Rattus norvegicus: one gene and its partner. The protein of the gene in region 1 purifies or fractionates together with the protein of each later gene. This does not show direct contact. Links are inferred from orthologs where the notes say so. Each region holds a gene or a part of one and is shown on either strand. Other genes may lie near its edges.

Region 1 (4,946 bases):
GAGGCACGAGAGAAATGGGCTGACGGACGTCCACAGAGGACAGACGGTGGCCAGCGAGGATGGGTTTTCTCGGTGTAGGTGCATGGGAAGCAGACTGCCCAGTGAGGTTGAAAGCTCCCAGGCCTGAGCATTTGAGCAGTGGCTGGATGACCTCCCCTAAGGCGTGCTACAAAAGGATTCAAGCCTTAGAGGGGAGCTGGATTGGAGGACCTTGGAAATCACTTCCAGCTCCGAGAGTCTGCAATTCAACAGCAGCCAAGCCCCTTCAGTAAGAAGTGTTAAATCAAATGATTGTGACTATGGGGCGAACCGATCTCAGGGAGAAGAGTTCTGTGTGGGCTGGAGCAGGGGGGGAGGCTTTCTGGGGGTGGAGAGGGAAAAACATTCCCGGATGAGGAGTAGCTGAGAGCTCTGCCTAGGGAGGAAGGGGCTCTCTGGGCTGAGCGTTCTCCCACTGCACTGACCGGGCTGGCCACACGACTCCTGTCAATTGCTCTGAGCAAGTGGTGGAGAGAGAAAAAAATGCAGCCAGGACCCAGCACCAAAGTGACTGACAGCACACAGCAGACATGGGCCCTCCAACAAAGCTGACCCACCACCATTCAAGGCTTGTCTCCCTACTTGATCATAAGCTGCCTAAGCCTCTTGTACCCCTCCACCCACCTTATGGCGCTGAGCACGATGCCTGAGACACATCTCTCAGGGAATGTGCCTGAGAGACTCAGCTGCCTTGGTGTGTGGGTGTGAGTGGGTGTAGGGGAACAGGGCCCACAAGCCTTGCTCCCTGTCTTCTGAAGAACAGGTGAAGCACACACACTGTGGCCCGGCCCAGCTGTCGCATGACAGGAGGCATTGGGCTTTCCAGCCAGCACTGTTCTGAGATCAACTCTTATGTTCCGGTGAGGAGGTAATGAGCCTCTCTCTGCCTCGTTTTCCTCACCTATTAAACAAAAGCCAACCGTAGGATCCACTTCCCTTAGCCCAGTGTCTGGCACAGAAAATCCGAATGTCGATTAAGACTGCTACTATAAACAACAAAGTGGGAGGGAGCAGGGGTACTTCATGCAGGAAAATTAAAAAAAAAAAAAAAAAAGACCTAAATCCAATCTCAGAAGGGAAAGCTGCTCGTCTCACCAAAGATAGACTCGGCACCAACTTACTAAGCACCTACTGTGTGTAAGGGACATACCAAGCCTGCACACAGTTGTTAATACCTCAGGAAGGGCAAGATGTGTCATTCCCATGCAAGCCTGAATGCAGTCTGTAAAGTGGGCCCAAGTGAAGGCCCAGGAAAGGCTTGGCCGAGGAAGCATGGAGGACAGATATCGAGGAGAAAAGGGACAGGTGACGGATGAGCAATAAGGAGCCTCCACCCACCTGTCTTTGTGCCTCCATCCTGGTACACCTCAGTCACACTGTCATCTCTCTCCCCCTCAGAACCCGAAGGAGGCCAAATGCAGCCCAAAATCCAGTGCAGGAGATCAGCTCTCATAAAGGGCTCCACGGCTGCTTCCCCACACCGCAATCCTCCCAGTGCCCCTTCTCAAGCAAACCACTCACAGCCCGAGGAAGCCTAAGAATGTCCCCTCTAATTCTCAGTCACCCGCTAGGCAAAGGCTTTCTACAGATGGGACAGGATCTGGTCCACAGACTAGAAACAGATGCCTAAGGAGATCCCTTCTCCTTCCCTGAACTCCGCAGGCCTCAGTTCCCAGCTTAGCTAACTTAAGTGCGCAGTCCCTACAGCTGGCTGGCGCCCACTGCCGAGCCCACTCCCCACGGACAAGACCTGGGGAGGGCACACAACTATACCCGGCTCATCACCCACCACCCGTCCTATGCACTGACTCTCAGACGGAGAAGTTCCGGTGACAGCCCATAACCAGAGCCACCTGGCAAACACGATAAGGAGTTTGATCGATAAGGTTAGAGATGGTGGCCCACCATTGATCAGGGGAGAAATGAATGCAAACCACCTCTGGGGTCCTCAGGAGAGTGGACTACAATACCAGGCCAGAGCTAGCTCAACACAACTAGTATTCCAGCCTCCCCAGTTACAGTCTGCATCTTGGAAGAACCACACATCTCAGCAACAGCAGCAAACAAAGGGTAGAGAAAGGCAGGGAACAGGTGAGGGTGGTTTGGAGGTAAAAGACGGTAAAAGAAGGCAAACATCAAGAAATGGCCTAGGCGGCGGGAGTGTAGCTCAATGGTACTACACATGCTTAGCATGGGCAAGACCCTGGGTTTGATCTCTAGCACTACAAATAATACAAAAATGTCCCGTGTAAGGACGTTTACAACCAAGTGTGCATGTTCAGGATGGCTGGACTGCAGGACGAGAAGCAACTAAACAGAACAGGGCCGATTTCTGCTTTAATATGTCCCAAGAAAGGAAGAAACCCTGTCCTGGTGCACAATAGAAAATGCAAAGGTTATCCTAAGGAATGCTGGGAGGAGCCTCCTCAGATTAGGAACCGCGTCCTGTCTGGGGTGAACACAGAAGCCAGCTGATGCCAGTTAGGCTCTTGCACAGAAGAGCCCTCCAAGTCGGGAGACCTGAGATTGCAGCTGGGCCCTCAGCAGGATGTGTGACCTTGGACAAGTCCCTTCCCCTGACACGGCCTCAGTCTCCTCATCTGTACCACTAGGATAATACACTGCATGTGCTCAAAATCTCCCTTCCAGCGCCGACGTTCTGGGGTTCCATCAACAGAAGGAAGGGCTCGGTCCTGGCTTACAAGTTTGTGTGTAAAGGAAGACTCGAGGGAGGGGCCTAGGCCAGATTTGGGCGGAGGAGAGAAAAAGCAGAGCGGTTCTAGGTCAGGGGCTGGTCGTGGAGGGAGAAGGGACTGTACAGAACTGTGGAGAGGCCGTCTTTAAGCTGGTGGGGAAAAGAGGGAAGGGGCTGCACAGGGCGGGGGTGGGGGGAGTACTGGAGGGAGACGCGGTCTTAGAGGAGGACTGTCCCAAACCCGTGGGGGATCAGGGACAGAGAAAGGCGGGGAGAAAAAGCAAGGGAGTGAGCTGGGAGTGGAGCAGATCTTGAGGGGGCCGGGGGTAGGAGCAAAGAGGAAGGGAAGAGGGATAGGTGGGGGGAAATCTGTCCGGGCAAAGACAGAGAGCTGTCCCAGCTGCTGCACGGGCTGGGGGCGCTGCCAGCCGCGCGGCCCTGGGGCTGGCCGCGGGAGTGCTGCGGGGGGCCGGACCAGAGGGTCAGTCTGAGGCTGTCCCGGGCCTGCCTCGGGCCCCTCCCAGAGCTGCGCGCAGGCCCGGCGGCGGAGGCACTAGGGGAAAGGCCACGCTCACCTTATCCTTCTTCAGTTTATAGGGCATCTCGGCCGGTCCACACCCGGCCCGGCTCCTGCGGCCCCGCTCCGGCTCCGGCTCTGCTCGGCCGCACTCGGCCCGCTCGGCGTCTCTTCGCCACCGCCTGCGCGCTGCGCCCGGGCCGAGCGGTGGCTGCGCTTCCAATTGGCCCGAACTCTTACAAACCTGCCTGACAACCAGGCGCCGCCTCCTCGGATTGGTCATTGGAGCCAAGCAGCTTCCCTTTTTTCTCATTGGAAAGAACGAGTACAAACCGCCAGGGTTCGGCTCCTAGAATTGGCTGGAGTGGAAGGTCCCGCCCTAGAAAGGGTCGGGCTTCGTGGAGGGGGCGGGGCCATGGGGAAACCGGAGCTGGGCTGGCAGAGCTGCACTCCGGCGTCGCCTTATGCGTCGTCCTCTGCTATTCTTCAGTCCTTTGAGCTCTGCTCCTTCCCTCCAGAAGTGGCTCTCACGTTTTCCCCTACTCTTCTACCTGCCCTGCTCCGTTCGGACTGGAGGAAAGAGGCCCTAACACGAAAGGGCACCTTTCTTCACAGGAATTTAAAGTAGCTCAAATTGAACATGTGAAATTGATAGAGAAGACTCCCAAGGGTCCTCCCGGGCATTCATCAAGTCTGTCCTAGATCACCGTTGTAGAGGAGCAGAGGGGGAAGCCTATCAGCGGTGGAACCGGACTGAAATAAAAATAAGAAACCTTGGTTTGCTGCAGCTTCAAGACGTGGATTCCTGTAGCTATTGCAAGGGTGCTGGGGTCAGTAAACCAGTTGCGTTTTGAGCCACTGAGATGAAGTAGAAAAGCAGCCTCATCGTTCCGTGTCCCAGAAAACCTATCCCTACCTGTGCTGCCGCACCCAAGCCAGTGTTCTAGTGGATAAGACTGGGTTCTTGCCCTCAGGTAGTTCCCACTCTAATGAGGTTCACAGACTCGTATTAAGAGATGATTAAAATACAATCACATAAATTACACAAACCTCAGAGTGACATGGAGGAATATATTTTAGTTATCCCAGTAGCCAACAGACTACATTAAAAAACTGGAGGAGGTCCATCAAAAATAAGCCGGTGAGCTGGGTGTGGTGGTTTGCCACTGTAATCCCAGCCCTGGGAAGGTAGAGGCAGGATGATCAGGAGCTACAGACCAGCCTTAGCTAGAGCCAGTTACAGACCTGTTTGGACTACAGTGAGAACCTCTTAGAACAAAACAAAACAGAAAACAAAGACAAACCCACCTGGCCACCACCACCAACAACAAAACCAACTCTCAGAACTAAAAAGTAACAAGTAAGCCTGTGGCTGTTTGTTCCACAGGTAAGAGGCCTTGGATTCCCCCCAGCAGCACAAATAACTAAACAATTAAATAGCCAATGATCCTTACACAAAGAGCAGTAGCCATGAGGATGGAAAAGATGGGGCTGGGCTCTTCCAAAAGACCTGAATTCAGTTCCCAGCACCCACATGAGCCAGTTCACAATTGCCTGTAACTCCAGACCCAAGGGATCTGATACACATATACATACATACATACATACATACATACATACATACATACATACACATAATTTTAAAACTTCAACAACAGAATGGGAAAGAAAAAACAAGACTCGGTGTTTATGAGT
Region 2 (4,281 bases), on another chromosome or scaffold:
TAATAATATATATGCCCCAAGACTTAAGCATTTATTTACACTGTTTTTGTTTTGTTTTGTTTTGTTTTGTTTTTTAGAGCACACATTAGGGCACACATCTTCTTTGGCCAGAAGACCAGAGGCAGGGGAAGCAGGGCTTGGTGACTGAAGCCTAGAACCCCAGCTACTTGGGAACATAAGGCAGGAGAGTTGAGCTGTGCTGAGAGTACGGTCAAGTCTGAGCCTGAGCAATTGAGTGAGACTCCCTCCAAAATAGGCATACACAAAACCCAAAACCCACCACCGCCAAACCAACCAAATCATGAACGGGGCTGTAGCCCAGGGGCAGCGCCCTGGCTTGGCACCAGGTTTAACTCCCCAGTACTGTATTAATCAGAATAGACAGAGACTTACATAACTTGTCAATACAGATCCTGGATGCCTGATAGTAAATGTTCTCCCACATTTAACCTCCTTCTGCAAGACACCGTCACCCACATATACACACACCTGTCCATCTACTAAAGCTGTAAGTGGAAGATAATCAAAGAGATCTGTAAAGTATTTCCACACGTTGGCGTTCCCATACTTTCGTAGGCATTCATCATAAAAGCCATATACTTGTGTGATCTGCCGGCTTTCATGATTTCCTCGCAATATTGTGATACGCTCTGGATAGCGCACCTGGAAGACAAGGAAAAGAAACCCGTCACACAACCACGTCTCTCCAGTGCTGTTACCTTTAACCTCGAATCCATTTCTTTAAGAAATGGATTCTTTTGTCCATTTTTAAATTAAATTTAAGAACGGGTATATACATATGATATATATAGAACAAGTGGATTTTATGCTTAGACTTGGGTCCCCTACTAAGACATCTCATTATGAATATGCAATTTTCTGAAATCTAGAAGTCCTAGGCATTTGTCTGAGCAGGAGTAGTAAGAAGGAAGCAGCCAGAGCAATCTTGTGGGGAAACTAGAGAAAGAAACAGAAAAGCCTAGAGTAGAGCATGAATAAAAATGTTCTTTGAGGGGAGACACTCTTGCTGTGAGTTACAGGCAGGTAATGTAGACAGACTACAGGAGAGCTGCAGCATTTAATGGGTTTGACTCTCGTGACTGTGTGACATCAAAGAGGACTCTGGGAACAGGGAAGTAGCAAGATAGACAGGAGCTGAGATTCATCCGGCAGTCAACACAGGGATGAAAGGAGCAGATCTTGAAGGCAGACGTGTGGAGTGCAGGGCAGTACAAACAGGAAGTCAGAGGAGCAATGGGCTTCCCATGCCGTGAATTAAACACTTGTTTAATGATTCCATATGAAGGTTGGTAATTAAATATAATTCCAGAGCTCAGTTATAGACAACCATGAGTTACACATTCATCAGAAATAGACGGAAGTTTTAAGCATAGACTTTCCTCTCTCTTTAAAAGATGGAAAGCCAACTATTATTTAAGACCAAACGCACCATGAAATTAAAGATGATTCATGCTGCACATTCTTCTGCCTTTGGCCTCCTCTGAAGTTCACCCCCGCCCCACATTCATCAATCATACCTTTAATGCTACAAGAAGAGTCACGGTCTCCACAGAATAATATCCTCTGTCTACATAGTCACCCATGAATAGATAGTTGGTGTCTGGTGATTTTCCACCAATTCTGAAGAGTTCCATAAGGTCATGGAATTGGCCATGCACATCTCCACAGACGGTAACAGGACAGCGAACCTCTTGTACATTTGATTCTTTTGTTAAAATTTCCTTAGCCTGTTAAAAAAGGAAAATAAATATTCGGTTACAAACTTAACATTTCTTACCTACTGAAAAAAAAAATGTGGGGAAACCCACTTGGGAGTATAAAGTAAACCAATACCCTACAAAGGGATGGGCCGAAATACAGCTATCATAGCAAAGGCCAGAAATGACATATCTACAAAGACATGGAGAACCTGGAACCCTTACGTGACGCTGGTAGGAATCAAAGTGAAATTTGTTTCAAGTGTCCATGCAGCACTGTTCTTTTGCTGAAGGATTTTTTTTTTTTTTTTGGTTCTTTTTTTTTCGGAGCTGGGGACCGAACCCAGGGCCTTGCGCTTCCTCAGCAAGCGCTCTACCACTGAGCTAAATCCCCAACCCCGAAGGATTTACTTTTACTTTGTATTTATTTGTCTGTGTATGCCCCATGTGTCCAGGTGCCAGCGGAAGCAGAAGAGGCATCTGATCCCCGAGCTGCAGTTACAGGTGGTCATGAGATACCTGACAGGAGCACTGGGACTGAACTCAGGTCCCCTGGAGGTGCAACAGGTGCTGATAGGAGTACAAATAATCCAAGCGCCCATTAAGCATGAGCTGATATAACACAGCACACCCAACCAGGTAGAGTAAGTGGGAACCAACAATAAAAACAACGCACCGATATGTGCTGTAATCTATGCTTTAACCAAAGAAGCTATGTGACAGACAGATGACTTCACTCACTCCCGAGTCCAGAAGAGACGACAGAGGTAGAAAGTAGACGACGGCTGCTTAGCACTGCACAGAGAGGACCAGAGACCGGGTGTGGGGCCTGAGGGCAGTGAGAGGCTCCAGTGTGATGGAGCTACACAGATGGATGTCATCTAGACTGGCCTCACCTCCGCAGCCAGTTCCAGGCCAGCCACGGGTACACAGGGAGACCTGTTTCAAAAAAGCCCCCAGATAAACCAAACGACTTCTTTCCACGACAAATACGGAACTCACCACTTACTCAGATTTATTTTCCCAAGTTCACGACTGTCTTTACTGATTTGTGTTGCTACTGCTGGAGACGGTCATGCCCTGCCCTGCCCTAATGACATCATGGTGGACCATATACCACGGACAACAGTGGTCCTGAGATGTTCCCACTGTCTCCCCAGTGACAAAGCTGTCCGTTGGTTAACGTGAAGTAATGCCGGTACGAAAATCCAGTCTACTGGGTGACCAGATGTAAAAGGCACATGCAATTCTATATGTACCACAGATGTGAGGTAAACACAGGTGACTGTCGCTAGGGCATTTCTGTGGAACTTTAAAAGCCGCGTGAAACGCTCTGCTGAATTCTGCCCACGGCAACCTCACACATCTTTGTGCTTTCTGCATCTTCCGACTGTGATTTTCTCCTGTGCCACATCTAAGTTGGGCTTAACTACCCTTCATGACATTCTCATGGCAAAACTACCTACTGACGAATTTCAACTTCTGAGAACACGACTCAACGTTCAAGCAGCGTATAGCTACAATCCATGATTAATATTCAATTGACACTATGCCAGGACTTTAAAAAAGTTGAGTCTAATGCTTTGATGTTTTAAGTTCCTTCCCTTTATTTATTTTGGGTGCGGTGCTAAAGACTAAACCCAGAGACTTACGCATGCTAAACATAATCTACTGCTGAGCTGCACACCAGCCAGTATCTCTCCACACCTGATTTAAGCTCCACGACTCACTTCGTGTTAATCGTGTCTACTTCAGTACTAGCAAACTCTCCTGGATTGTGTCTACAGGTGACCCCACTCCTCCCTTTCCATGAATCTACTTAGCACGACCTGAACACGAAGCACAACACTGTGTGCTCCAGAACAGTCTGTGGTTTTAGTCAGGAGACTCTTTTCTTAGTTAGATCCTGCCTCAAAACAACAAACCAAGAAGCCCAGGTTGGCCTACAACTTGACTGAGATAGATGGCTTTGCCTCCCCTTCTCAAGTTCTCAGTCATGAGATTTGAGGAGTTTTAGTAGCCTGTCTTGGTCAAGGTCTTATCTTTTTAAAAGAATTGATTCTGTTCAGTTTTGTCTGTGAGTGTATGTGAATGTGTGTGTGCTGGTGTTCATGCCTGTGTGTGCTTAGAAGCCTGAGACCATGTCAGATTCCCTCAGAGCTTCTTACAGGTCTCAGTGATTCCTGAGCCTGTAACACAGATGACATGGTCTGAACTCTGGTCCTCGAGGCTGTGTAGCAAGCACTCTTAACCACAGAGCCAGCATGGCAGCCAGGGGCTCGTTTTAGCCCCAATGTAGTAGCCAATTCACCTGGCAGAGCCTCCCAATCATCTCCTACTGACTTATTAATGTGATAAGTGACCACAATTTTCTGTTATTTTTGCATTTATAACATGAGTTGTTTGTTCTAAAAAAAAAGACTTGTTTATTTATTATATGTAAGTATATACTGTAGCTGTCTTCAGACACACCAGAAGAGTGCATCAGATCCCATTACAGATGGTTGTGAGCCACTGTGTGGGTGCTGGGAATTGAACTCAGGACCTCTGGAAGGGCAGTCAG

What was found. Proteins that work in one complex are often made in the same cells at the same time.
Region 2: the proteins of Ppp2r5d (region 1) and Ppp2cb purify together in Homo sapiens (affinity purification with mass spectrometry; 8 studies listed by BioGRID and IntAct, counting the BioPlex papers as one, with this or other methods). This does not show direct contact. The link is inferred for Rattus norvegicus from reciprocal best matches to the Homo sapiens genes PPP2R5D and PPP2CB.

Annotation. Positions count from the first base shown.
Region 1 is NC_086027.1:21,772,283-21,777,228, reverse strand, and holds the start of Ppp2r5d (serine/threonine-protein phosphatase 2A 56 kDa regulatory subunit delta isoform), read right to left. Parts: upstream 3,337-4,946; coding exon 3,310-3,336; intron 1-3,309. UniProt on the Homo sapiens protein: The B regulatory subunit might modulate substrate selectivity and catalytic activity, and might also direct the localization of the catalytic enzyme to a particular subcellular compartment.
Region 2 is NC_086034.1:65,268,663-65,272,943, forward strand, and holds part of Ppp2cb (serine/threonine-protein phosphatase 2A catalytic subunit beta isoform), read right to left. Parts: intron 1,749-4,281; coding exon 1,539-1,748; intron 664-1,538; coding exon 490-663; intron 1-489.